Linked DNA regions of Oryzias latipes. The protein of the gene in region 1 interacts with the protein of each later gene in a biochemical or structural test. Links are inferred from orthologs where the notes say so. Each region holds a gene or a part of one and is shown in the gene's direction. Other genes may lie near its edges. The genes, in order: heat shock protein HSP 90-alpha, ppp5c, sugt1, stip1, fkbp4, st13 and tert.

Region 1 (2,113 bases):
TGTGGTGGACTCTGAAGATCTGCCCCTGAACATCTCCAGAGAGATGCTGCAGCAGAGCAAAATCCTGAAGGTCATCCGTAAGAACCTGGTTAAGAAATGTCTGGAGCTCTTCACAGAGCTGTCTGAGGACAAGGACAACTACAAGAAGTTATATGAACAGTTCTCCAAGAACATCAAGGTAGCTTTGTGACGCCACAAACCTTTCTGAAAGGTGTATTCCAGTTCATTTCCACTAACATACTATGTCCCCCTTTAGCTTGGAATTCACGAAGACTCTCAGAACAGGAAGAAGCTGTCTGAGCTGCTAAGATACTACACCTCAGCCTCTGGAGATGAGATGGTTTCCCTCAAAGACTATGTCACCCGCATGAAGGACAACCAGAAACACATCTACTATATCACTGGTGAGGCCTTGCTCCACCTGCATCTGAGCTGATTCTTCACCTGAGTGTTAGCAGATGATTGACGTCATGTTTTGCGGTTCAGGCGAGACCAAGGACCAGGTGGCCAACTCTGCTTTTGTGGAACGCCTTCGCAAAGCCGGTCTTGAGGTCATCTACATGATCGAGCCCATCGACGAGTACTGTGTCCAGCAGCTGAAGGACTTTGATGGCAAGAACCTGGTTTCAGTCACCAAGGAAGGTCTGGAGCTGCCTGAGGATGAGGAGGAGAAGAAGAAGCAAGAAGAAAAGAAAGCTCAGTTTGAGAACCTTTGCAAGATCATGAAGGACATCCTGGAAAAGAAGGTTGAGAAGGTAAGCAGAAGAACGCTTCTTTGGATGGCGGGGGGGTCTCCTGGTAGGATGCAGTCCTAATGCTTTAGTCCTTCCACAGGTCACAGTGTCCAACCGCCTGGTCTCCTCCCCATGCTGCATCGTCACCAGCACCTACGGCTGGACGGCTAACATGGAGAGGATCATGAAGGCCCAGGCGCTGCGCGACAACTCGACTATGGGATACATGGCTGCTAAGAAGCACCTGGAGATCAACCCCGACCATCCCATCATGGAGACTCTAAGGCAGAAGGCTGAGGCCGACAAGAATGACAAATCGGTGAAGGATCTGGTTATCCTGCTGTTTGAGACCGCCCTGCTGTCTTCAGGATTCACCCTGGAGGACCCTCAAACACATGCTAACCGCATCTACAGGATGATCAAACTGGGTCTTGGTAAGGAGTCCATCAAAAAGTTCAATATTTGAGTTTGTGTTTTATATCCTGATAGATTTTTAACTAATATTTTTCATTTTTACTGCAGGCATTGATGAGGACGACACACCGGTAGAAGAAACCACTTCTGCTCCCACTGAGGACATGCCGCCTCTGGAAGGCGACGACGACGCGTCCAGAATGGAGGAGGTGGACTGATCGGTCGGCTGCAGTGTTGAGATAGTTCCATGTACAGTTCAAATGTTAAAACGAGTTGTCATCATTTCTTTCCTTATTCCTCACGTGTTTGCATTTGCTCATTCAGAGCTGTTCTGAAACTCTTTATTCTTCAGATGTAACAATGTAATTGTTTTTGTATTTATTGACATTCTAATGTTGCTCTAATTTGTAAATATTACTGGAGGTTGGAATACCAGAGCACAGAAATAAAACTCTAAAGCAAAAACGTTTTGTTCTGGGGTTCTTTTCAAATACAAGAGATTTTTGGAAGGGAGACGTATTGATGCTTTTATTGTGAAGGGGAAATTGGGAAAGGAAGTAATTGGAAGGTTGAATGAATGCTGCCAATAATTAGATAAAGATCTAACAAAAATAAGAAACTTGAAGTGACTGGTTATCAGTTTTCTAAGTTATGAGACTTCAAACAAACCTATTTTTATTGGATCTTTAATTGTAATTACAATTGCATGACATGCAAACACTGGAAGTGTTAAGAGAAACACTTGAAATGCTGCAAAAGTCCAAAGTCCTCACAACATAAATAGTACAATATTGCCATCTAATTATCACTAATTTTGTTTGTCCTAACCTTTTGATATAAGGGTAACAGCAAATCTATAAACAGAGCTATCAGGTTTTTTTTAAGAAAACAAGGACCGAATCATGTTTTAGGCGTTTCCTGCTGGTCTTCCAGAAATCCTGCCTGATCTTCACCTGGAACAGGTG
Region 2 (3,500 bases), on another chromosome or scaffold:
CAGACGCCAACCCTTACGTATCCTTCCGTCACGGCGGCACGTCGTGCCCCAGAGTCGTCAAACGCAGAACTCGTGCGTCATTTTCCTTGACTGCGGCGTTCAGCTGTTCAACGGGGACTTTGTGGACCGCGGCTCCTTCTCCCTCGAGGTCATCCTCACTCTCTTTGGCTTCAAGCTGCTCTACCCCGACAACTTTCACCTACTGAGAGGTGCGTGACGCCTTTGAGCGCCTTCGCGCGCCTTCGCGCGCCTTCGCGCGCCTCCGCTGAACTAAATCAGACATGTACGGTGTTCAGGAAACCACGAGACGGACAACATGAACCAGATGTACGGGTTTGAAGGGGAGGTCAAAGCCAAGTACACGGCGCAGATGTTCCAGCTGTTCAGCGAGGTCTTCCAGTGGCTTCCTCTCGCTCAGTGCATCAACAGCAAAGTGCTGGTGAGTTCACACGGGGGGGGGGTGTTCCTGCAGCAGGACGGGTCCGCCATTTTTAAGGGGGGAAGAGATGAAGGAGAAAAAAAGACACGAATGAGGATCCGAGTGCAAATATTCTCCAGTGCAGTAAAAATATAACTCGAGCACAATATATTTATTGCTGTAAAACGCAGGATATTGTTGGATTTTAAGTTTGTAAACTAAAAAAAAAAAAGCTGAACGTCCAAATATTCTAAAAAAAGTGTCGGGGAAGCTTCCCATTTTCAAACTAAAGCTATTTTTTTGGTAGTGGGGGGGGGGTTCCTGTTTACTGACATAAATTCATAAAAAAACTGAATTTGCTTTAACCCTTTATGTAAATCACTGTGAATCAGCTGATTCTGATTTCTTACAGAAAAGCGTTTTTTATAGCCGCTTTGCGCCCATTAGCTCCGTAAAGTGCTGCATTTTAGAATAGAATAGAATAGAATGGCTTTATTGTCATTGTGCATAGTACAATGAGATTTAAGCATCACCATCAGTGCAAGAACAGTAAGGAAGGGAAAAGTAGTAAAGATAACATTGTAATATAATAAAATCAAACAAGCAAACAAACAGTATATACAAGTGTGCAATATAAGCTGTAAACTGTATTGGAGAGTGCCGAGATAATAGTGCAAAAATTGCGTATGAAAAAACTGTGCGTAGACATGTCAAAGTGCAGAGGTGGCAATGAGGTAGATAGATGACACTGTGGTCAGACTGTGGACAGAGTAAAAGGAATGTTTTTTTTTCTCGTTTTTTTTTTTCCTCTTATCTGTGCATTTGGGAATTGAGGATTGTTATTGCCTTTGGAAAGAAGCTGTTTTTTAGTCTGTTCGTTTTGCTTCTGATGCCTCTGTAGCGCCTCCCGGAGGGCATCAGGTTGAACAGGTCTGAGCCGGGGTGTGAACTGTCCTTAATGATGTTCTGAGCCCTGGTGAGACAGCGCGCGGAGTAGATGTCCGTCAGTGTGGGGAGAGGGCACCCAATGATTTTCTCAGCTGTCTCTACGACTCTCTGCAGTCTCTTTTTATCCGCGGCCGTGCAGCTGCCGAACCAAACAGTTGTGCAGTAAGTGAGCAGGCTCTGGATGGATGACTGGTAGAAGGTCAGCAGCAGGTTGGTTTTAATTTTGTTCTTCCTGAGGACCCTCAGGAAGTGCAGACGCTGCTGAGCCTTCTTGATGATGGCGGTGGTGTTGGCTGTCCAGGAAAGGTCTGCAGAGATGATGATGCCGAGGAACTTGAAGGTGTTTCCTGAAGTCGACTATGATCTCCCTGGTTTTGCTGGTGTTCAGGGTGAGGTTGTTCTCTGAGGACCAGGTTGTCAACTTCAGGACCTCCTCTCTGTAGGCAGACTCCTCCCCCCTGGGAATGAGTCCGACCACCGTGGTGTCGTCGGCAAACTTTATGATGCAGTTGTTGTTGTGGGCTGGACTGCAGTCGTAAGTGTAGAGGCAGTACAGCAGGGGGCTTAGCACACAGCCCTGTGGCGCCCCAATGTTCAGTGTGCGGGTGGAGGAGTGGTAGGGGCCAAGTCTCACAAGTCTCATTTTGATGCAAAGCCGCTTTCCTGCGCGGCAGAATCCGCTGATTCACGGTGATCAGTCCAGCATTTATGATACGTCGTGTGTTTAGACTTAAATATAATGAGAACGTGGATAGAAAACATAATAAATATGAATTTTACACGGTATTGTGATGTCATGTGACTGAAAACGTGGCAGAGAAGTCGCCTGGAGTTATAGGGAGTTTTCTTTTTTTCCTCTTAAGATCAAAACATTTGGTTGCAAAACATGTTTTCTGTTGGCAAAGTTCAAATAAATGGACTGTGAGGGTTTTCTAGTTGTTCCATCTTTACAGTACAGACCAAATGTTTGGACAAACCGTCTCATTCAAAGAGTTTTCTTTATTTTCATGACTATGAAAAAATTGTAGATTCACACTGAAGGCATCACAACTATGAATTAACACAAAAGTGTGAAACAACTGAAAATGTCATATTATAGGTTCTTCATAGTAGCCACCTTTTGCTTTGATTACTGCTTTGCAGACTCTTGGCATTCTCTGGATGATCTTCCAGAGTTAGTCACCTGAAATGGGTTCCAAGGTGTTTCCAGAGATGCTTAGCACTTGTTGGCCCATCACTGTCCATCTTGGTCAAATAGCCCTTACACAGCCTGGAGGTGTGTTTGGGCTCATTGTCCTGTTGAAAAATAAATGATGGTCCAACTAAACGCAAACCGGATGGAATAGCATGCCGCTGTAAGATGGAAAGCACAGATGTCCACTGGTCTCATGTCCATTCCTTGTGTTCTTTAGGCCAAACAAGTCTCTTCTGCTTGTTGGCTTTCTTTAGCAGTGGTTTCCTAGCAGATATTCTACCATGAAGGCCTGATTCACACCTTTTAACAGTTGTTGTAGAGATGTGTCTGCTGCTAGAACTCTGTGTGCCATTGACCTGCTCTCTAATCTGAGCTGCTGTTAACCTGCCATTTCTGAGGCCGGTGACTCGGATGAACTTAGTCGATGAACTTATCCTCAAGGTGACTCTTGGTCTTCCTTTCCTGCGGCGGTCCGTATATGAGCCAGTTTCTTTGTAGCGCTTGATGGTTTTTGTGACTACACTTGGGGACTCTTTCAAAGTTTTCCCAATTCTTTGGACTGACTGACCTTCATTTCTTAAAGTAATGATGGCCGCTCGTTTTTCTGTACTTTTTTCTTGCCGTTATACAAATTCTAACAGTCTATTCAGTTGGACTATCAGCTGTGTATCCACCTGACTTCTGCACAACACAACTGACGGTCCCAACCCCATTTATAAGGCAAGAAATCACACTTGTTAAACCAGACAGGGCACACAAAACCATTTCAGGTGACTACCTCTGGAAGAACCTACAATATGACATATTTTCAGTTGTTTCACACTTTTTTGTTATGTATTTAATTCCACATGTGTTCATTCACAGTTTTGATGCCTTCAGTGTGAATCTACATTTTTCATAGTCATGAAAGTAAAGAAAACTCTTTGAATGAGAAGGTGT
Region 3 (3,479 bases), on another chromosome or scaffold:
TGTGCTTGTCTTCCGTCAGACCCGTACCCCACATCCTTACACTACACCCGCAAGTGGGACAAGATGGTGTCGGACATCAGCGAGGAGGAGAAAAACGAGAAGCTGGAGGGAGACGCGGCACTCAACAAGCTCTTCCAGCAGATTTACACGGACGGCTCGGACGAGGTCAAACGAGCCATGAACAAATCATTTGTGAGTACTTTTCCTCCAAGTGGCATTTGACTTTTAACGTTTGCAGACTCCTCTGCTGCTGGAGAGCAGTCAAATTAAGCTGAATAGGATGTTCTTCATCTTCTGTCCAGCAGAAGTTAATCCTTTTACAAAATAAAAGCCTTCAGGAAAGAACTGCACCTCTCAGTTATCCTCCCATACCCATTTCTCCCACCTTAGATAGGGGAGGCGGTGTGTCAACCGTGTTTTTATAAAATATCAGACCTTTTGGGTATTAACAAAAAAAAGATAGTGTCTCACTCTTTCTGAACATGTCTTCCCTGAAACCCTCTTGTCCGCTTTGCAGTGATTTTTTTTTTTTAACAGAGCAGACAGGAAGGGAGTGAGGAGAAAGCGAAGAGTCTAAGTTTGTATGCATTCTCATACAAAAACAGGAGATCATAGAAACACAGACAGCTTGAGATCTGCTCTGTCAGCCGAAGGATCAGATTTCGCCAAGAAAACAAACAAAACTCCATTATCTGCAAGTGAGCACGTAACAACACTGCAGTTTTATTTCACTGGTAAAATTTCCTCTTTGCAACACAGAAACTCTCTCCTCCTTTAAGCTGAAGATGTAAAACTGGTCAAAGCTGACAGTTTTAACAAGTGTGTTTTAAAAAAAACATTGTTTTTCACACTTGCATCAGCGATTCTAACTCTATATTTGATTCAGCAAGTGCCATCTAGGTTAAAGAAGAAAGAGTTTGTCTTTTCATGGAGAGCTGACCTTTTGATAGAGGCAGCTTTGGTCTTTTCACCTCACAATAGTGTAAGTATTGTTGAAGTGATCTCTCGTTTCCCCGTCGTTAGCTTTGCGCTCACGAAGGAAGCTAATTTTTGGCCTCAATTCGGGACCCATTCGACGTCCTCCAACTATTGCATAAATCTGAGCGAAAAGCGGAGCATTCCTCAAACCGGCACAGACGGACGCTGAACTGACGGCGACCCACAGCCGCTCCCAAACAGCCATCTGCACTTATCGCAACACGCATATTGATTTGCCACAGTCATGTCATCTGAATCCATGCAGAAGAGATGGGGACTGCGGAGTCTTAAAAAAAAGACAAAAAAAATGAATCCACACTCAAACTGACGGCTCGTGTTGGAGGTGGATCTGGGCTGCTTTCTGCAGAAATGATCATTTATATGAACAGTGATCCACTTTGGTTTTCATTTGTAGCATTCTGAGGAAGTGAAGAGCTGCAGGATTTGTGTATTTGTGTTGACTTGAAGATCACTAGATTTTTAATGGAATGGAATATTATATATTTTTTTTTTATTTAACCTTTATTTAACCAGGAAAGTCCCATTGAGATTAAAAAACACTTTTCCAAGGGAGTCCTGGCCAAGAGGCAGCACATTTCAATACAATTTCACATTTTGAAACAAACCAGCACCTTTCTTTTTGCTTATTTTGCCTGCAAATATCCCAGATTTTCTTTTAATCCTTTTGAAATCCCTTCAAGATAAAGCTCTGCCGTTTTTTTAAGGAACCATTCAGTGCTTGGTCTATGCAGAATATAATAGTTGGCAAAAAACAATTTTATAGACCCACTTGATTATAATTTAATCTGTTTTGAACGTGATCCCAGTGGAATTTTAATTATGATTATGCCGTTTTTAGCCAAAATAATAAAAAAAAAAACTGTAGTTTTGTAGGACATAGTTTCCACAGAGCTGCAGTAGTTCATTAGAAATTTGCCTCAGAGTTGTGGGGGGAGGGGGGACGATGACGCAGAGCAACCCCACCCCCCATTCCCCTTCTCGTTGCTGAGAGCTTGGCGCAATGGGAACCCAATGTCACAAATAAGGTCTTTTTGCAACAGCATGTTTTTGTCTGCTCCTGTTTCACAAGTATTTGTATAAAGAAATAATCAGAAATGTAATATTAAGCTTACATTTTCTTTATATATCTTTATATAAATTTTCTTTATATTCTTTATATAATCCTCAGAAGGATCCCGCTAGAACATGTCAAAAACGCCAATAACATCATTTTAATCGGAAAGTTCTTTAAGCCCTTTTAAGAGGCTGAAGTGCGAAGAGAGGACAGAAAAAACCAAGTCAAAGGAGAAACTATAAAGTCCTTCAGAAAGCCTGTAGACCGGCTGCTCAAGACACTTTAAAAGATTAGACAAAATCAGTTCAGAAAACCTTCAAGGACAAGAAAGGTCAGCTCACACGGAAAGTTATGCATCAAGGTTTAATGAAATCTCATGCGCGTGTGTGCAGATGGAGTCTGCTGGCACCGTTCTGAGCACCAACTGGAAAGATGTGGGCAAGAGGAAGGTGGAGGCGAGTCCACCCGACGATGTGGAGCACAGGAAGTACTGAGCGCGTGCAGCTCTCTCTGCTTTCCTCCTCCTGTTTAAAGTCATCAAGTTGGTTCGTCTGAGCTCCGGCGGGAATCCCGACGCTCTGCTGCGAGCGTGACAGCCCACCTCTCCTCCTCATGTCAGTGCTTTTTTTCTTTTTTTTCTTCACTAAGTGCAGGGAGCCAGCGTTCCCACTCTCCCTTTCCCAAACCACAGATGGCTTATTCTCTGAAAAAGCTGATCACTAACTGGGTTCGATTGATTTTGAATAAAGGCCGACATACATGAAGGGAAGCAGGTGTAACTGATAGGCCTGAAACATCACTTTTAGAATCGCTATGTTTCTGTTTTCTCCAAAAGACCTTCCTGTTTGGCAGCCTTTATCACCTAATATCAGTTCTTGTGTACAAATGTAAAGTTGCTAATAATAATAAAAAGGATTTTAAAAATACAACTGACTTTAGAGTTTTTCTTCTTTCTGATCAGTCGACATTAATACTCGTCAGGTGTTCTCTCAGTGTGACTTTAGGTTTGTTAAAAAGAAAGATTTGTCGTTTGACTTCATAACGTTCATCTTGTGTTTTATAGTCATTTCCGGGGATTTTTGTTAACGGGTGGGATCGCCTCGAGGAAACCCACGGCTACTGAAATGACTGTATGACCATTGACTGTATCGGACTCTGTTTTACTATCTAGTGCTCCGGATTTCAAAAGTAATTTAGACACCATGCTCGCTCCTTTTTCTTTTTTTAGAGGCAAATATGATGACGTCATCGATTCCTCAAAGTAAAAACCTAATAAATATTAACATTTTATAAAGACTGTTTATGAAGAAATATGTTCTCATGATGAAAACTTGTAAAAAAAAAAAACATTTTTTTTCCACAAAAATTGTTCAAACGCAATGCATTGTGGTCTACGTTTGCCAATTTAGTGATTCACACTGGTTTT
Region 4 (4,089 bases), on another chromosome or scaffold:
AGCTCGAGATAAATAAATTCTGACCGTTGTGGGTGGACAGAGCAATCCCCGTTTAACCAGAACGTGTTACAGTGCTAACCTCACGAGACCTCAACCCCTCACGCGGGAGCGCGCACGCGCTCATTACTGGCTCGTTTGTGTTATCGAGCTTTTACCAAATTCATTATCTGTCGATCTGAGTTGCTCGTTTGCATAAATGATATGGTTAGTATCGCTTGTATTACTGAATACACCAGTTAATAATACCCCAATAACACAGACTGAACCACCTCTTACACCACCTGCATGTTATCAGTTGAAGAAACTGTCCATCTATCTACAATACTTGTCAATACATCACTATTTATCCTACAATGTGTGAGAAGAAAAAAAAGATTTGGGTGATCAAGCCACATGTAACCTTTTCACACTCTATTCACATTACAATTTGCCTTTTTTGTGAAATACAATACCACGTGTTACATCCTCTATTTGGTACGTTTCTTTTGGTGGCAAAGAGTGTTAAATAAACCCCTTTTCTGTAATCAATTTATTATATTTTATTTGTTTGTTCATTGTTTTTTCTTCTTCACCTTGGATACTTGTGAATTTGTTACACTAAAATATTAATTTATTCAGTAAGGTTCTACTCCATTCTGTTCCATTATACTAAATTTATATCATGTTGTCCTTTGTTTGAGTTTTATTCTAATAAATGAATGCTAAAAAAACCTCTATTGGATTTTTATTTATGTTTCATTCATTTTTTTAATTTAATGTGACAATGTTTGACACATATTTTGTTCAAGAAAATATTTTTTACCTAAATGTTTTTTTCTAGTGATTCATTAGAAAATAACGTATTGATGTTACACAATATTTTACCAAAGTGACCAAAAAGCACTACAATGCATTTTTGTTTATACAAAGGAAATTTCCGTATTAATGTTAAAATATTAGCAAAGTAAAACTGATGAATATTTATTGTATTTAAACATGTATGTTTTAAATTTTAAAAATGTTAACCTTGTCAACACCCTTAAATATGTGATGACATTTAAAAGTATGAGTTTCTCTTCAATATTATAGTTACGTGGATGCTGGTGTTGCTCAAAATATAAACGCTTAATTTAACCTTTTTTCAGACTTCTGTTCTTACTCTTGTAAGTGAATGCGCTTGTATCTTCAATTTGAGCTTTTACATTAGGCATAGAGGAGAGTAAAACTTCAAGGGCTGGGTTTTGAGAGTTTTTTTCCCAATTCATCTTCTGGAAGTTTCAGTCAGGAGGCTATATATTGCTCGTCAGAGGCTCCACGCGAGTTCGTCGCTGTTTGCGGATCTTCTACAACAATCTGGCAACCCGCACGTGTTCAGGGGGAGGCGCTAGTCCGCAGTAGTTTCTGGAACGTACCTCATGCTTGTATCATGGAGAAAGTAAGTCTCGTGTAATCGCATTTTCTTCTTCTTTCAAAACAAACATTTAAAATGGGTTTTTAAAGAATTGTGCAATGTTGAGATGAAACGAGTTTTCTTAAAAATCGTAGTTAAAAAAATTGTCTTAGTTTTAATCCTTAGCTTGAAGAGATTCACTTTGCTAATGCATCGAGCTAGCTTAATGTTAGCTAACCGTCATTCAATGTGGTCACTTAGAATGGAAGGTGTAGCTGAGCTTTGAGTTTTCCGTAAAACATTTTCATTTTATGTTAAAGTCCAAATAGTCTTGCGATATTTCCAGGTAACAACGCATGTGTGTCCAGTTAAGCTAATTAGCCATGATACGAAAATTCTACTGAAACTCCACTAATTTGAACTAAACGTGTTTGATTTATAAAAAAAATGTATATACATATTGGTTCATTTCTTTTCTGTCTTTGCCCATGCTTATCCTTAACCCTCGTAGCTTCAGACTAGTTCGCAAATCTTTGACATTGCAAGTACGAAATAACGATTTAAATTACGTTCATAATGCAACTAGTTGTATATTTTTGTATGTATTAGAGATTGCTAGTTTATATGCTCTCGTTCTAGTGTGGCACACAGCGCTTAAGTACTTTTCGATCGGCTGTATATGTTTAAGTAGCCTGCTCTCACACCGGAGGATCATTCTAGATGCACAGGTCGCTGCTGCCATGGCTACAGCCGCATGTCGTCGGAAATTGTCGCGCATTTTTCCGGTTTTTAAATTGTAGTATTTTGGTCCCAATTTGAACGTCTCTCTAAAAAAAATTTAAAGTCTCGTTTTCTCCAAACCTGTCGCAAATATTTAGTGATAAATATTGCAATAATATTTACTGGCAACAGCGTTAGCAACTATATGTATATGTATGCTAATCATGTAAAAATTATATTTTCTTAATATCCAGCGTTTGTTGTTCATGGGATCAACTAATGTTAATCCCCTAATCTGTGGTGATCTGGCTGTAATTACATGTTGTGACTTAATTAGTCTGTAAAACTGAAAATGATTTAAATCCTAAAGGGTCTTTTAACAGTAAGCTTTGAATTCACACGTGTAATTAATACTTTACAAAAGGTAATTACATGTGATGTAATGGGTCTTAAGCTGTATTTAAACTTTTGTTATCAACCCACAAATATAGAAATATGAGTCCTCTCAATTTCATCTTATAAAGATTGCATTGATAAATTAATGATCATAAACTTTAAATGTGAAATTTGATCAAAGGAGACAAACAGGCACAAACATTGGTTGTTTATTCACAAAACTTGGGGACATACTCATTTTAGTTGACCTGCTCAGAAAATACTTCTTTCTCTTCTTGGATGACCCCCCATTGAAAAAGTCATATTTGACGTTTTCAACATCCACTACTTTCATTAAATAGACTAAAAAGAAGTTTTCAAATCTGTTCTAATTGTATTTTAAAGCTCTTATATTGAACTTGGTCTGAAGAATAGTGTAAAGTTGTGAAAATTTGTTTTTTTTTTCTTCTTCTTTTTTTTGACAAGAATGAATTTCATAGAGCCATCACACCTGCATGACAACTGACTGTACTCTTTACTTTAGAAAAGATGGAAATGGACCATTGCAAGTGATATGTTCTCTTCCTTTTCAGTGCGATGAATTACCAAAGTTTGAATTTACTCATCTCTATTTGTGCCGTTTATTAAATGTATTGTTTCTTTGGACAGACTTCTCACTTCAGTCTGAAGTAATGAAATTTAGTTTATGAACAGATCTTTGAGTCCATTTAGAAATTAAAGCAAAATCTGGCCATTTTTTCAAATGTTTAATTTATTATCAAAGGTGTTGGGAACAGCTTCGACTGCGAGCTGGTGTGAAGCTTTATGTGTTTTTTCAATTTTAACTCTGATAACAGAAACGAAAGAAAAGACACAAGTTACCCAATTGGGTTTTATTGGATTAAGTGCAGTGTGTGGAGGAATGCAAACTTCTTTTACATTACAAGCTTAATGTGTTGGACCAGGAATCATTATATCTCACAAAGTATCGATTTAATGTTGTTATTTTTTTTACATTTTCATTCAAACGTAGTATCTTCTGGTGACGAGAACAACCTTTTGTATAACTATCAAAGAAGTAGGTTGATAAAAAAGCAGTCAATTGGACTTGGTTTCACATTTAATATTTTTCCAAAAGCCTTTCCTTAATCTGAAATGCATTACTAAGAGAGCAGGTTAATCTGCTCCTTAAGGCAAGGCAACCCAATGCTTAGGAGACTGAATATACCCTCATCACAAACGTCAATGTTCATAGCTTTTTTACATTTTTAAGTGGGCAATTTTGTTTATTTGTGCCTCTTTTACTCTCATTTGCCCCTGTTATGGATGTTTAAACTGTTTCTGGAGTTTCTCTTTATGGTGTGGATAAATTTCGTCTGTACAGATGAAGGAGAAATTCTCCATTCATTGTGGTCTTATTGTTTGTTTTTTCATGATCAGTTCTTAGGCTGTTTTTCAGCTCCTCTATATGGCATTTTTTGTATGCAAACTTTGATCTGGTGCTAATAAGCATGTTGGGTTTTGATGTTTTTCTAGATTTCAGCATTGAAGGAGCAGGGCAACAAAGCCCTGAGTGCAGGGAATATCGATGAAGCTGTGCGTTGCTACACGGAGGCCTTGGCTCT
Region 5 (4,137 bases), on another chromosome or scaffold:
AGATGAGGAAAATAAGAGAAATCTTGATTGGAGTGGGTCTTTAAAGAATGAAACAGCCTGTGACCAAAGTGCTTCTGTAAATATAGCTTACCTTCCTTTTAAGAGCATACTTAAGCTGAGCATTATTTCTGATCATTTCTAACCGTTCTTCTCTCTTCTTCCTCTTTAAGTCTTCCTCCTATTATAAAAGCAAGAGTTACAGTCAGCAGGTTTGTAGATTTTAATCGGAAATCTACATTTAAAAAGTGCATTTCTCTTGTTCACCTTCAGTTTGGACACCAGGTCTCGCTCAGCCTTCTTTTGAACAAAGTCAGTGATCCAGTCTGGCTCTGCCGAGGAGCTGGTGGAGGAGGACTGTGCAGCTGAGGTGGAGAGAGCTGCTTCTCCTTCCTGCAGCAGAGCAGCGGCCTCCTGTATCGTCTTCTCTTCATGATCTCTCAACCAGCTCAAAGCTCCACATATCAGGCTCAGTGACTTGCCCTAGATCAACAGCATTTCCATGAATCTAAACTGAAGTTTTTAGGTAAATTGAGCTCGTTGAGATTGTTGTTTCACATACCGTTCCAGTTGGACTTTCGAAGATGCCAACTTTGCTTTGGTCGAGTGCTCTGTAGAGGGCTTGCATAAACTGCTCCTGAATATCATAAGGCTGGTAGGGGAATGGAAATGTGTCCCTGCCCTTTTCCATGCTCCTAATGTTCTCTGAGGATCATAACAATGGTCAGATACGATCAATGACAACATTCAATACAGGCAACTCGAAATATAAAACTGAAAATGTTGTAGTAAATCTTTCTAAACTGAGTAGTTTTATATTGATTACCGGTACTAAAACTAAAAGCTTATGTGGATCATGTACAAGCAGCTAACTTCAACAAACCTGGAAGCTACAGCGACAACAAATAAACTTCACACACAGTTAATATAACGACATTAATGTTTTAAATTTTACTTAAAAAAGTTAAAATATAAAACTAGTACTTAAATGGAGTGTACTTACCGTATAATGCTACCTATCTGCTCTCAAAGCTACACTTTCAACTACGCGCCAATAAACAGAAGTGGTCACAGACTCTGGCCAATAGGAGGCGAGCTGAAAAGGGGAGGCTATATTTAACTCGTTGGACTACATTTGTGGTCGGAGCTACTCTAGTAATTTCCAAACATTGTCCTGTCTCAACACTTTATTTCGCAAATTACAAAATGCTTTTGAATTGCGATAACTTTATTTATGTCAGAGTGCAACAACATGGATTTTCCTATGCCCCAATTTTAGCACCGCCTTTGTGGAATGTACCCGTGTGAAATAGAACAACCCCAGCGAGCGTCCCTCCCCCTTCTCTCATACTGTCTGGAAAGTTCTCTGCCCTTCTAAAACGCTTGTCAGAACCCGTACTGCCAGACAACGTTAACGGAAAGCATCCCCGCTCAAGTCCAGTCAGCTAGTTTGATACGTTTGATTAGTGGTAGCAGGTTTGGTTGCTTTCAGTTTCACACGGAAACGTGTATAGTTTAATATTAGCTAGAAAGCTAAGAGTTTGAGCGACGCATGTTAGCTTGACATTAATTTGTTGATAGTCGGCTCCTTGTTTGTGCACTTGGCGTGGTTTGAAGTAACCGTAGCTGTAGCCACCGTTGCTACTAACTAGTGTCAGTCAGTGGTCTCAGGTTTTGCTGCAAGTCCGACATTTGTCTAAAAATGACCGCAGAGGAGCAGTCAAACGAAGGACAGCACGCGATCCCGCTGGAAGGGGAAGACATCACACCAAAGAAAGATGGGGGTGTTCTAAAGGTAAACGGGTTTGTAATAAAGATCTTAACTGAAGCATATTGCTAGGTTAGCAGGCGCTTTTGGCTAAGCTAACGTTAGCCTATTTATTAACGTTTGAGTTCAAACATATTTTCTGCAATCAGTTAGTGAATGTTCATGGTCAGTGAGAGCACAGTAAACATTTATCTTAAGTTTATTCGCAGAAGTTTTTGTTTGATGGTTTTTCTGGGAATTTATTGTTAGGTTATCAATTATATCGATCATGCAACCTAATCCAGTTCTAGAAAGGTCTGGAGCCATGAGCTGTTTTATAGAATTAAATGGTAGATTATATGCACAACCAGAACACTAAGCCCACCAGATTTAATTGTTAAGATTTGCGAGCCCACTGTATTTCAATAAATGAGGATTAAAACAAATTTACAGCTGCATTCATGGAGATTTGCTTTTGTTTTCGCAGGTTATTAAGAGGGAAGGTACAGGGACTGAACTCCCCATGACTGGTGACAAAGTGTTTGTCCATTATGTGGGGACGCTCTTGGATGGGACACACTTTGACTCGAGCAGAGACAGAGGAGAAAAGTTTTCCTTTGAGTTGGGCAAAGGTTGGTTTCTAATCTTCTACCTGGCTGCAAAAAAATAAATAAAAATAAGTTTCAGTATCATGTGTTGTTGGGCAAACTCTATTCTATGATTATTTTACTGTATTTGCTTGCTCAGAAAGCCTCTTTTTAGCGCATACATAATATTTACATACCATCATGGGGGTTGACAATGTTGTTTTTGCTGCAAAAAATGTATTCCTTAATTTAATCATTTTTGATTGGGAATGTGTGACATTTTGCTGAAATCAGATTTACTTTAGTAATCCAGAATCCAAACTAATGAACATAATATACACTTAACTTGTTGGATGTATCTGTCGCCCCACTCATTAGGTACTGGTGACTCCTTAACTGTTAATCTAGAATAGGAGGACTTTAACCATTGTTATTTCTGGAGATAAAAGCTGGACAATTCATCAACTAAGGTTAAATGATTTGTTGCTAACAACTGTACATCACATCACGTCACATCAGTGCATTTTTGAATTTGTTTTGGACCAGGTAGTGAATACTTGCCTATTGCTATTGTGCAAATAGTTCAGACTGTATCATCTAACTTTATTCAGGTCAAGTAATAAAAGCATGGGACATTGGTGTGGCCACAATGAAAGTAGGAGAGTTGTGCCAACTTGTCTGCAAGCCAGAGTATGCTTATGGATCTGCAGGCAGCCCACCCAAGATACCCCCAAATTCCACTCTTGTTTTTGAGGTAAGTTTTTGTATGCATAGAGTTCTGGTATTGCATTAGAGACAAGCCACATAAATGTACACGTCTGCTGGAAACATTCAAAAATATTGGGGCGTTTAAATCTACTGTAATGACTAAAATAAATTAAAAGCCAGTAAATACTTTTTCAAATTCTGTCAGGTATTCAGTGGTAATAATCTCCAAAATGATCTTGCATAGTGTTAGAAAAACAGAGAACTCAAGGGTATGTATTAATCATTGAGATTATTTTTTTCTACTCTCTTTTAGGTTGAACTGTTTGATTTTCGAGGAGAAGATATAACAGAGGATGAAGATGGAGGAATCATTCGACGTATTATCACTAAGGGGGAGGGATATTCAAAGCCAAATGAAGGGGCTACTGTTGAAGGTACATCCATCTGAATTGTTTTTTTCCTCTTTTCTGATTAATATAACATTGTACACCTAAATTGAACTTGATCTTGATCTGTATTTATTGAAAGTTTGATTAAATACTGGAAACTGTATTAGGACTAGTACCATAGTGAGTTAATCTTATACAAATTTTAACTGGCTAAAAGCAAACAGTTGCATTTAAAACAATATTTTTTCTGTGAAATTCCAATAAATACAATGATATCCAATTAGAATAGTTTTTGAGGTCACGTTTTACTTAAATCCCATATTTGCTGCATTACTCAGTTGTCTCACAAAGTTTTTACTATATAGTGAACTCCTTTCTTATGTTAAATATTGAACGTAGTTATCTTCAATTAATTTGTATTTTTAATTATTTCTGTGTTCAATCTAGTCCCATTCAGAAAACATTAACAGCAATGTCACAGAAAAATGAGATGTGTTTACCCATCATTCCCAAAGCTTTACACAAGTCGGTCACACAGTAAACCTATGAGAGTGACCCCACCTGACCTGCACACTTCTATCCCCTCTCAGTCACTGTGCAGGGTACTCATGATGAACGCATTTTTGACGAGAGAGAACTGAAATTTGAGATTGGAGATGGAGAAAGTTTTAACTTGCCAGCTGGGTTGGAGAAGGCTATCATGGCCATG
Region 6 (2,712 bases), on another chromosome or scaffold:
TGACGAGGACGCCAGTGCAATGCTGAAGGAGGTCCAGCCGAAGGTATCAGCTCTATGAAAGCATTCAAAGACAGCAGAGAGAGACCGAAGTCTGAAAGATTATTTTGACAGGCGAACAAAATCATCGAGCACAGGCGCAAATATGAGCGCAAGAGGGAGGAGAGGGAGATCAAGGACCGGCAGGAGCGCATAAAGAAGGCCAGAGAGGAGCACGCCCGTGCTCAGAGGGTGAGCTCTTCTGGATTCCTCTTCGCTTTTGGAGGGAAAAGGTCCGCCCCTCACTGCCTTTTCTGTGTTTCTGCAGGAAGAGGAATCCCGACATTTTGGAGCCGGAGCAGGAGGTTTCCCAGGTCAGATTACCTGTCCGTCCTGCATGCTGTCATTTCTGATCTCACATTAACTAATAGGATAATCTCATTTAAAAGTGAAACATTGGATGACCTCATCATAAAACACTATATCTCCGCCATTGTGTAATGTTACCTCCGGTTTACAGATATAGACCAGGAAAACTGACCATTCTACTTAAATGATACAACTTACTTATCGTAATGGAAAATGTTATATTTATGTTAAATGTCCTACCTAACTGTTTCCGCTCTGTCATTCACAAATCAAAATACAAATTTAAGTAATCCTCAAATATTTCAGGTTCTATTGAAAATATCGACGTTTCATTTGAGCAGATATTATTCTAACGGTTTATATTTAGGCTGAATTTATTTGCACATATTTTAAGGCAAATTTTAGTTGTTGTATTAAGGGATATTTTAAGGGTAGTAACAGTAATTGGTTTTACTTTATTGTACGACGAGCTGAATTTGTCCTTCATTTCTCTGTTTTCAATGATTTTGTGAAGACTGAAATTCAAGCAACTTTAACTTTAGCAGCTCAAACCTCAAACCCATTGCACAAAGCGATCATTATTTGGATTTTATTTGGCTATGATTTCTGAATGATCAAACAAGGAAAACGAATACGGTTAGGTAGGACATTTATTAAATAAATATCGGGAAAATTACTATAACGATTGATTATTATTTAGGTAGAATGGTGTTAAACGGCGTTCAGTTGTTGGTTTTGCCAGTCTATATCTGTAAATTAGAAGTAATGTCATGCAGTGGCCGTGTTTTTCTGCACGCCTGATGCTCTCACTGTGATTCCTTTGAAAATCAAAAGCGATTCAACATCTTTGCCATTCTTACAAGCCTCTTCAATCCAGTGGATAGGCTCCTCCTCCATCCTACAATCCAGTCGATTGGACGTAACTGTGCTGGAGTATTTAAATCTCCTTGATGTTCCAGGTGCTGCCGGATTCCCAGGCGGAGGTCCAGCAGGTATGCCCGGTCTTGGTGACCTCCTGAAGGATCCTGAGGTGCTCAACGCCATGAAGGTAACTTAAGATGAACCAATTCTATCACATTCCCCCAAGGAAAAGCCTTAGTTCCATAAATGTGCAAAACACAGGAAACACAATTTAAACTTTGTATTAAAAATACACTGACGGAGAGTCTGAGAAAATTAAAACTGCAGCTGTTTTCTGCTCAGTTTTTGTGACTCCTGAAACACTCCAGTGAGGTTGACTTCTTTCTGACTCCAGGACCCTGAGGTGATGGCCGCCTTCCAGGATGTGGCTCAGAATCCGGCAAACATCTCCAAGTATCAGAACAACCCCAAAATCATGGCTCTCGCTTCCAAGCTGAGTTCCAAGTTCGGAGCCCCCCCCCAGCCATAGAAGTGGACTGGACCAAAACGGAGATGATGTTTGGAGGAGCGAGTGAAATTAAGCTTTTCAACATTTTCTCAGTGTGTTTAGTTCTATCAGGGGAGCAGGTCAAAGTGATGCAAATGTAACAGAAAGATGGAAAGTGTTTTTCACTGGTTTCTTTTTTTTTTTTAAATCTTCCTCAGTTTGTTAGCAACATCAACAAATCAAACAGATGGTTATGGGTCAGTCCTGGTATTTAGCTAAGCCCCTCCCTCCTCTCTGATGGGTCGCGGCTGTGATTTAACCTGCGACAGCAGCTCGGACAGTTCCTGCATGGAACCAACGCCTCTTTCTAGAGCCATTCTACACTCAGTAGGAAATTCCTGGTTGTGAGGCCGCACTCCAAAGCGTGGGTGCTGGTACATGCTGTTGTGAAAGGCTAACTGCAAATAACTTTAATATTCCTGTTGAAAAGTTCACAATAAAAATGTTGATGGAAAACAGCTTTAATCCTCTTTTCTACTTGCACTGATAAATGTACTTTAACTGTCAAATTCCCTAGCTTTTAACGGTTGTCTTCTATTAAAGTGAAAACTTTTCATGATGCCTAATCCATGCCAGCTTCTGCAGAGCAGCAGCAGTTCATTAGAAATTTACCTCCGAGTTGTGGGCGGGAGTGTTGGCATGGAGCAAACCCGCCCCATCCCCTCCCCGTTGTAAAGCGGGGCGCTTGTTGCCCACCACATGAATCTCATCACAAAGCTCTTTTTTTCATCTGAATATAGAATTACCGCTCATTGACTATCGCAGTTTACGTTTCAGTCTGTGTGGATATTTTTCATTGGAATCTTTTTTTTTTTTTTAATCGCAGGTTATTTTTGGAACGTAAATTTGAGCTTAGTTTTCTTTTATGCCCTTCATCAGAAAAAGGCACTAGAGCACGTTGAAAACACCAGAAAACAAGATTTTCATCAGAGTGGGTCTTTAGGAAGTATTCTGTCATG
Region 7 (3,500 bases), on another chromosome or scaffold:
CCTGATCATTTGGATGGATGAGCCAATACTTTTGGTAAAATAGTGTATATAGAGTAGATTAAGCTCAAAATTGCACTTGTCAGTATTTCTTTATTCAAATCATTGTGAATAAGGAGCAGATGAAAAATGCCTTTGAAACAGCTTCTAGTTGTAACAAAATAAGTTCTAGTAATCTACAATCGGTGGTCCAAAGTCTTCCTTCTCCATTCTGATCGTCCACCATCAGACAAACGGATCCATGAACGTCTTTGTTTTCCTGGTCTGAGCTGGTATCTGGATCAGAATTGAATGGCTGGATAGCTACGATGTTGATCACCATTTTTGTTTCACAGTAATGTTAGGTTGGAATTTTGATGTGCTGGAAGGTAGCAGTGTGAAAACAGAGAGCTCTCAGCAGCAGGGAGGGGAGGGGAGGGGAAGGGAGGGTGTGGTTGCTTTATGCCAACGGTCCCGTCCACAAATCAGAGGTGAATTTCTACTGAATTCCTGCTGCTCTGCAGAAACTATGTCCTAGAAAACAACAGAAATGTTTGATTTTGGCTAAAAGTGGCGTCATCCTAACTAAAAGACCACTGGGAACGCTCTGAAAATAGATGGGATCGGACTTTAAAACTGTTTATGTCTCTCTTTTGCTCATTTAAAGACTTTTTCAAAGTCCAATCCTTTGTTCAAATAAAGTCTTTTGGTGTTTAGCGTCTCAGAACATGCAGGTGTTTCAGCCTTTGGTCTGCAGACCTGCAGCCTCCTCTGTGTCCGCTCTGTCCAGGTTCCATGTCTGTGTTCAGAGTTTACCCTTCGCCCAGACGGTCGCAAAGAACCCAACGTACTTCCAGCAGATGATCTGGGACATGGCGCACTATGCCAACGCTCTCATCAGGCGCAGCAACACAGGTACTTTACTTTATTCTCTTTTCCAGCTCAAAGAAACGGTCTGTTAGTCATTTTAATGGTTGGTTTGTTAGAATAATAAAACAAGAAACAGCAAATCTAGAAAAACCCATGCAGAGCGGAGGAAGATGAGTGAATCCAGGTGAGTTTCTCATCTCAGGCTCACTTGAACTCAAGCAGTCAGTCAGATTCCAGACTCTCCACCATGACTATGATCACAGGGAGGTTCAGAAAAGCCTGGAACAAACCACCAAACCTTTGGTTTGAAGAACCAAGAAGAAGCCGTTAAGATCCTTAGATCTCCTGGTGCTTCGACAATAAGTGTGACTGCAAACCAGAACGTCAGTGTTGCATCACAGCTTCACCTATTAAGATGTGGATCAGTTTAGTGTTTTTGTCTTTTATGGCTCAGAGAAACCCCGAACAGAAGGTTGGAGCCCTGTCTCCTCTGCCAGGTTGTGTGCTCAGCTTCCCCTCTCTCCTCCAGGGTTGGTTTTGGGGGATGGAGCTCAGAAGGGCAGCGTTCAGTACGAGGCCGTGGAGCTGCTCTTCTGTCTGGCCTTCCTGCGGGTTCTGTCTAAACACCGACCCGTCTACAAAGACCTGCTGCCACGCCTGCACAAATGTGGGTGTTCCACCAAGCACTAAGTATAAAAATGAAAGTCACTCAACACCTGAACGAAATATTCTAAGACTTTTAACACTTCAAATCATCAGCTGAATATGCAGAAGACAAAACTTGGCAGCGTTTTGAGAATTTTAGCAGATCATTTTGACCTTTCAAAGGTTTGATCAGCCAAAGGCTTTCACTGCTCTTGAACCGTTTTTCTGATGATGGAGGACATATGTTAAGAAGATGAAGGTCAAAAATGTAGTTCTGAGTATTTCTTTATTCAGATTGCATTAAACCAGGAGCAGATAAAAAATGTCGTTTAAAAAAGACCATATTTGTGAAGAAGAAAATACGCTGGGCAGCCTCAAGCTTCCTGCTCTGCTCCATTCTGATCATCCTCTGTCAGACCAACAGATCCATGTTTGTCTTTGTTTTCCTGGTCTGAGCTGATCTGGATCTAAACTGTACGACTGGATAGATCTGATACTGCTTAACACGTTTGGTGCCCTGCTAATGTTAGGTTGGGGGTGAGAGAGGCTGTAAGCCAGCAGGTGAGCGTGTAAACAAAGAGCTCTCAGCAATGGGAGAGGAAGGGGGTGGGCTTGCTCTGTGCACAACTCAGAGGTGGGTGAATTTCTAAAGAACTGCTGCTGCTCTGCAGAAACTATGTCCTAGAAAATGACTCGGCTTTTAAAAAATTTTGTCCAAAAATGACAATCACGATTTAAAGACCACTGGGAACGCTTTAACAATAGATGAAGAGACGATTAGAGGGGATCTTTGAGTTCTTTATTCAATCCCGTGTTTGAATTCAGGAGGATTCTTTTAGAACATTTCTTTTCTCTGAATGTGGGTTTAGAAGCTTTGGCACTATTGATGAATATCATGACAAAGCTGCTCGCTGAGAATGGATCAGGACTCTGTTTACTGAACTTGTTTCTTCATAAAACATCTGTCCTCAGGAGACAGAGAGGTTTGCTGAGCTGATGGAGAATCTGAAATCTCCTGGATGAGGCTGGGTTTTGCCTGAAGGTGGCATCAGCTGAGAGGCGTACAGGAATATCCGTGATGCAGTCGAGCATGAACTCTGGCGTTGGGTTTTTATGGTCAGAACTGCAGCACGGCTGTTACAGAAAGACCAAACATGAAAACACAGGAACTTTCCTGGAATACATCTTCTCTTAAAGGTGGATGCTGTGATGGCTGTATCCACGCTGGCCAATCTGAATGTTTTCAGGTGTATTTAGCAGTTTTATAACCAGCTGTTATGGGATTTTACAGCTCAGATGGGTGGATTTTACAGTTCGGAGATGAACTGTAATATCTCAATATCTGCTTTCACCCTCTGGACAGGGAAGCGCCGGTTGGAGAGGCTTCTGGGAGACCTGAGGCTGGCTAGGGTCCGGCAGGCCGCCAACCCCCGGGCTCTGCTGGACTTCCTGGCTATGCAGATGTGAGTCCACAGGTAAAAGCAGCCACAGGAACGGAAATGTGTGGGCAGTTTGACAGCATGGCTTTCACATGAGGATTTATTTTGTTAAAGTGATTAAAAGAAAAGAAAATGGAAGCAAAACGTTGTAATTTTTCTCTCAGATTGACATGATGAACATTCAAGGCTTTTGTTTAAACGAGCAAATGGAATCTTACGTGTTCTGTAAAGCACAGTAAATATGTTTTGGTCATCTCTTAAAAACCACTTAAGCGATAAAACCCGGTGATAAACCGGTGTCGTAAAACAAGCTCAAGTTGATGAATGAAAAACTTGAGAAGAATCCAGCTTCTGACATGGAGCCTGGCTCATTCCTCAGACGCCTGTATCTCTGGACTTTGATTCACTCGCTGCGGTAGTTTTCCACAAAGAAGATATGGTTAGGCTTTAAAAATAACTTGTCTGTAAATATGTGCACGGAAACGTCATCAGCCTCCAGGGATTTCTTTTACTGTCACAAGTACACAAACAAAGTGCAGCCAAGTGAAATAAAAAACCCTGATGTTTGAG

The links.
Region 2: the proteins of heat shock protein HSP 90-alpha (region 1) and ppp5c form a complex in vitro, tested with the Homo sapiens proteins (4 studies listed by BioGRID, with this or other methods). The link is inferred for Oryzias latipes from reciprocal best matches to the Homo sapiens genes HSP90AA1 and PPP5C.
Region 3: the proteins of heat shock protein HSP 90-alpha (region 1) and sugt1 form a complex in vitro, tested with the Homo sapiens proteins (4 studies listed by BioGRID, with this or other methods). The link is inferred for Oryzias latipes from reciprocal best matches to the Homo sapiens genes HSP90AA1 and SUGT1.
Region 4: the proteins of heat shock protein HSP 90-alpha (region 1) and stip1 form a complex in vitro, tested with the Homo sapiens proteins (9 studies listed by BioGRID). The link is inferred for Oryzias latipes from reciprocal best matches to the Homo sapiens genes HSP90AA1 and STIP1.
Region 5: the proteins of heat shock protein HSP 90-alpha (region 1) and fkbp4 form a complex in vitro, tested with the Homo sapiens proteins (4 studies listed by BioGRID and IntAct). The link is inferred for Oryzias latipes from reciprocal best matches to the Homo sapiens genes HSP90AA1 and FKBP4.
Region 6: the proteins of heat shock protein HSP 90-alpha (region 1) and st13 form a complex in vitro, tested with the Homo sapiens proteins (2 studies listed by BioGRID). The link is inferred for Oryzias latipes from reciprocal best matches to the Homo sapiens genes HSP90AA1 and ST13.
Region 7: the proteins of heat shock protein HSP 90-alpha (region 1) and tert form a complex in vitro, tested with the Homo sapiens proteins (2 studies listed by BioGRID). The link is inferred for Oryzias latipes from reciprocal best matches to the Homo sapiens genes HSP90AA1 and TERT.

Annotation. Positions count from the first base shown.
Region 1 is NC_019882.2:17,298,760-17,300,872, forward strand, and holds the end of heat shock protein HSP 90-alpha, read left to right. Parts: coding exon 1-178; intron 179-256; coding exon 257-404; intron 405-486; coding exon 487-755; intron 756-834; coding exon 835-1,168; intron 1,169-1,256; coding exon 1,257-1,366; 3' UTR 1,367-1,613; downstream 1,614-2,113. UniProt on the Homo sapiens protein: Molecular chaperone that promotes the maturation, structural maintenance and proper regulation of specific target proteins involved for instance in cell cycle control and signal transduction.
Region 2 is NC_019871.2:3,343,358-3,346,857, forward strand, and holds part of ppp5c (serine/threonine-protein phosphatase 5), read left to right. Parts: coding exon 1-17; intron 18-103; coding exon 104-209; intron 210-296; coding exon 297-439; intron 440-3,500. UniProt on the Homo sapiens protein: Serine/threonine-protein phosphatase that dephosphorylates a myriad of proteins involved in different signaling pathways including the kinases CSNK1E, ASK1/MAP3K5, PRKDC and RAF1, the nuclear receptors NR3C1, PPARG, ESR1 and ESR2, SMAD proteins and TAU/MAPT.
Region 3 is NC_019875.2:17,072,446-17,075,924, forward strand, and holds the end of sugt1 (protein SGT1 homolog), read left to right. Parts: intron 1-19; coding exon 20-192; intron 193-2,445; coding exon 2,446-2,547; 3' UTR 2,548-2,979; downstream 2,980-3,479. UniProt on the Homo sapiens protein: May play a role in ubiquitination and subsequent proteasomal degradation of target proteins.
Region 4 is NC_019872.2:19,986,875-19,990,963, reverse strand, and holds the start of stip1 (stress-induced-phosphoprotein 1), read left to right. Parts: upstream 1-1,289; 5' UTR 1,290-1,405; coding exon 1,406-1,414; intron 1,415-4,000; coding exon 4,001-4,089. UniProt on the Homo sapiens protein: Acts as a co-chaperone for HSP90AA1. Mediates the association of the molecular chaperones HSPA8/HSC70 and HSP90.
Region 5 is NC_019864.2:19,209,404-19,213,540, forward strand, and holds the start of fkbp4 (peptidyl-prolyl cis-trans isomerase FKBP4), read left to right. Parts: upstream 1-1,337; 5' UTR 1,338-1,699; coding exon 1,700-1,792; intron 1,793-2,231; coding exon 2,232-2,376; intron 2,377-2,942; coding exon 2,943-3,085; intron 3,086-3,352; coding exon 3,353-3,473; intron 3,474-4,018; coding exon 4,019-4,137. Other genes in the region: ATP-dependent DNA helicase DDX11, read right to left, coding at 92-178, 265-480, 560-688. UniProt on the Homo sapiens protein: Immunophilin protein with PPIase and co-chaperone activities. Component of steroid receptors heterocomplexes through interaction with heat-shock protein 90 (HSP90).
Region 6 is NC_019866.2:19,406,719-19,409,430, forward strand, and holds the end of st13 (hsc70-interacting protein), read left to right. Parts: coding exon 1-43; intron 44-111; coding exon 112-228; intron 229-304; coding exon 305-350; intron 351-1,304; coding exon 1,305-1,393; intron 1,394-1,600; coding exon 1,601-1,735; 3' UTR 1,736-2,212; downstream 2,213-2,712. UniProt on the Homo sapiens protein: One HIP oligomer binds the ATPase domains of at least two HSC70 molecules dependent on activation of the HSC70 ATPase by HSP40. Stabilizes the ADP state of HSC70 that has a high affinity for substrate protein.
Region 7 is NC_019869.2:25,695,017-25,698,516, reverse strand, and holds part of tert (telomerase reverse transcriptase), read left to right. Parts: intron 1-766; coding exon 767-891; intron 892-1,375; coding exon 1,376-1,513; intron 1,514-2,854; coding exon 2,855-2,958; 3' UTR 2,959-2,966; exon of another isoform or gene 2,967-3,500. UniProt on the Homo sapiens protein: Telomerase is a ribonucleoprotein enzyme essential for the replication of chromosome termini in most eukaryotes. Active in progenitor and cancer cells. Inactive, or very low activity, in normal somatic cells.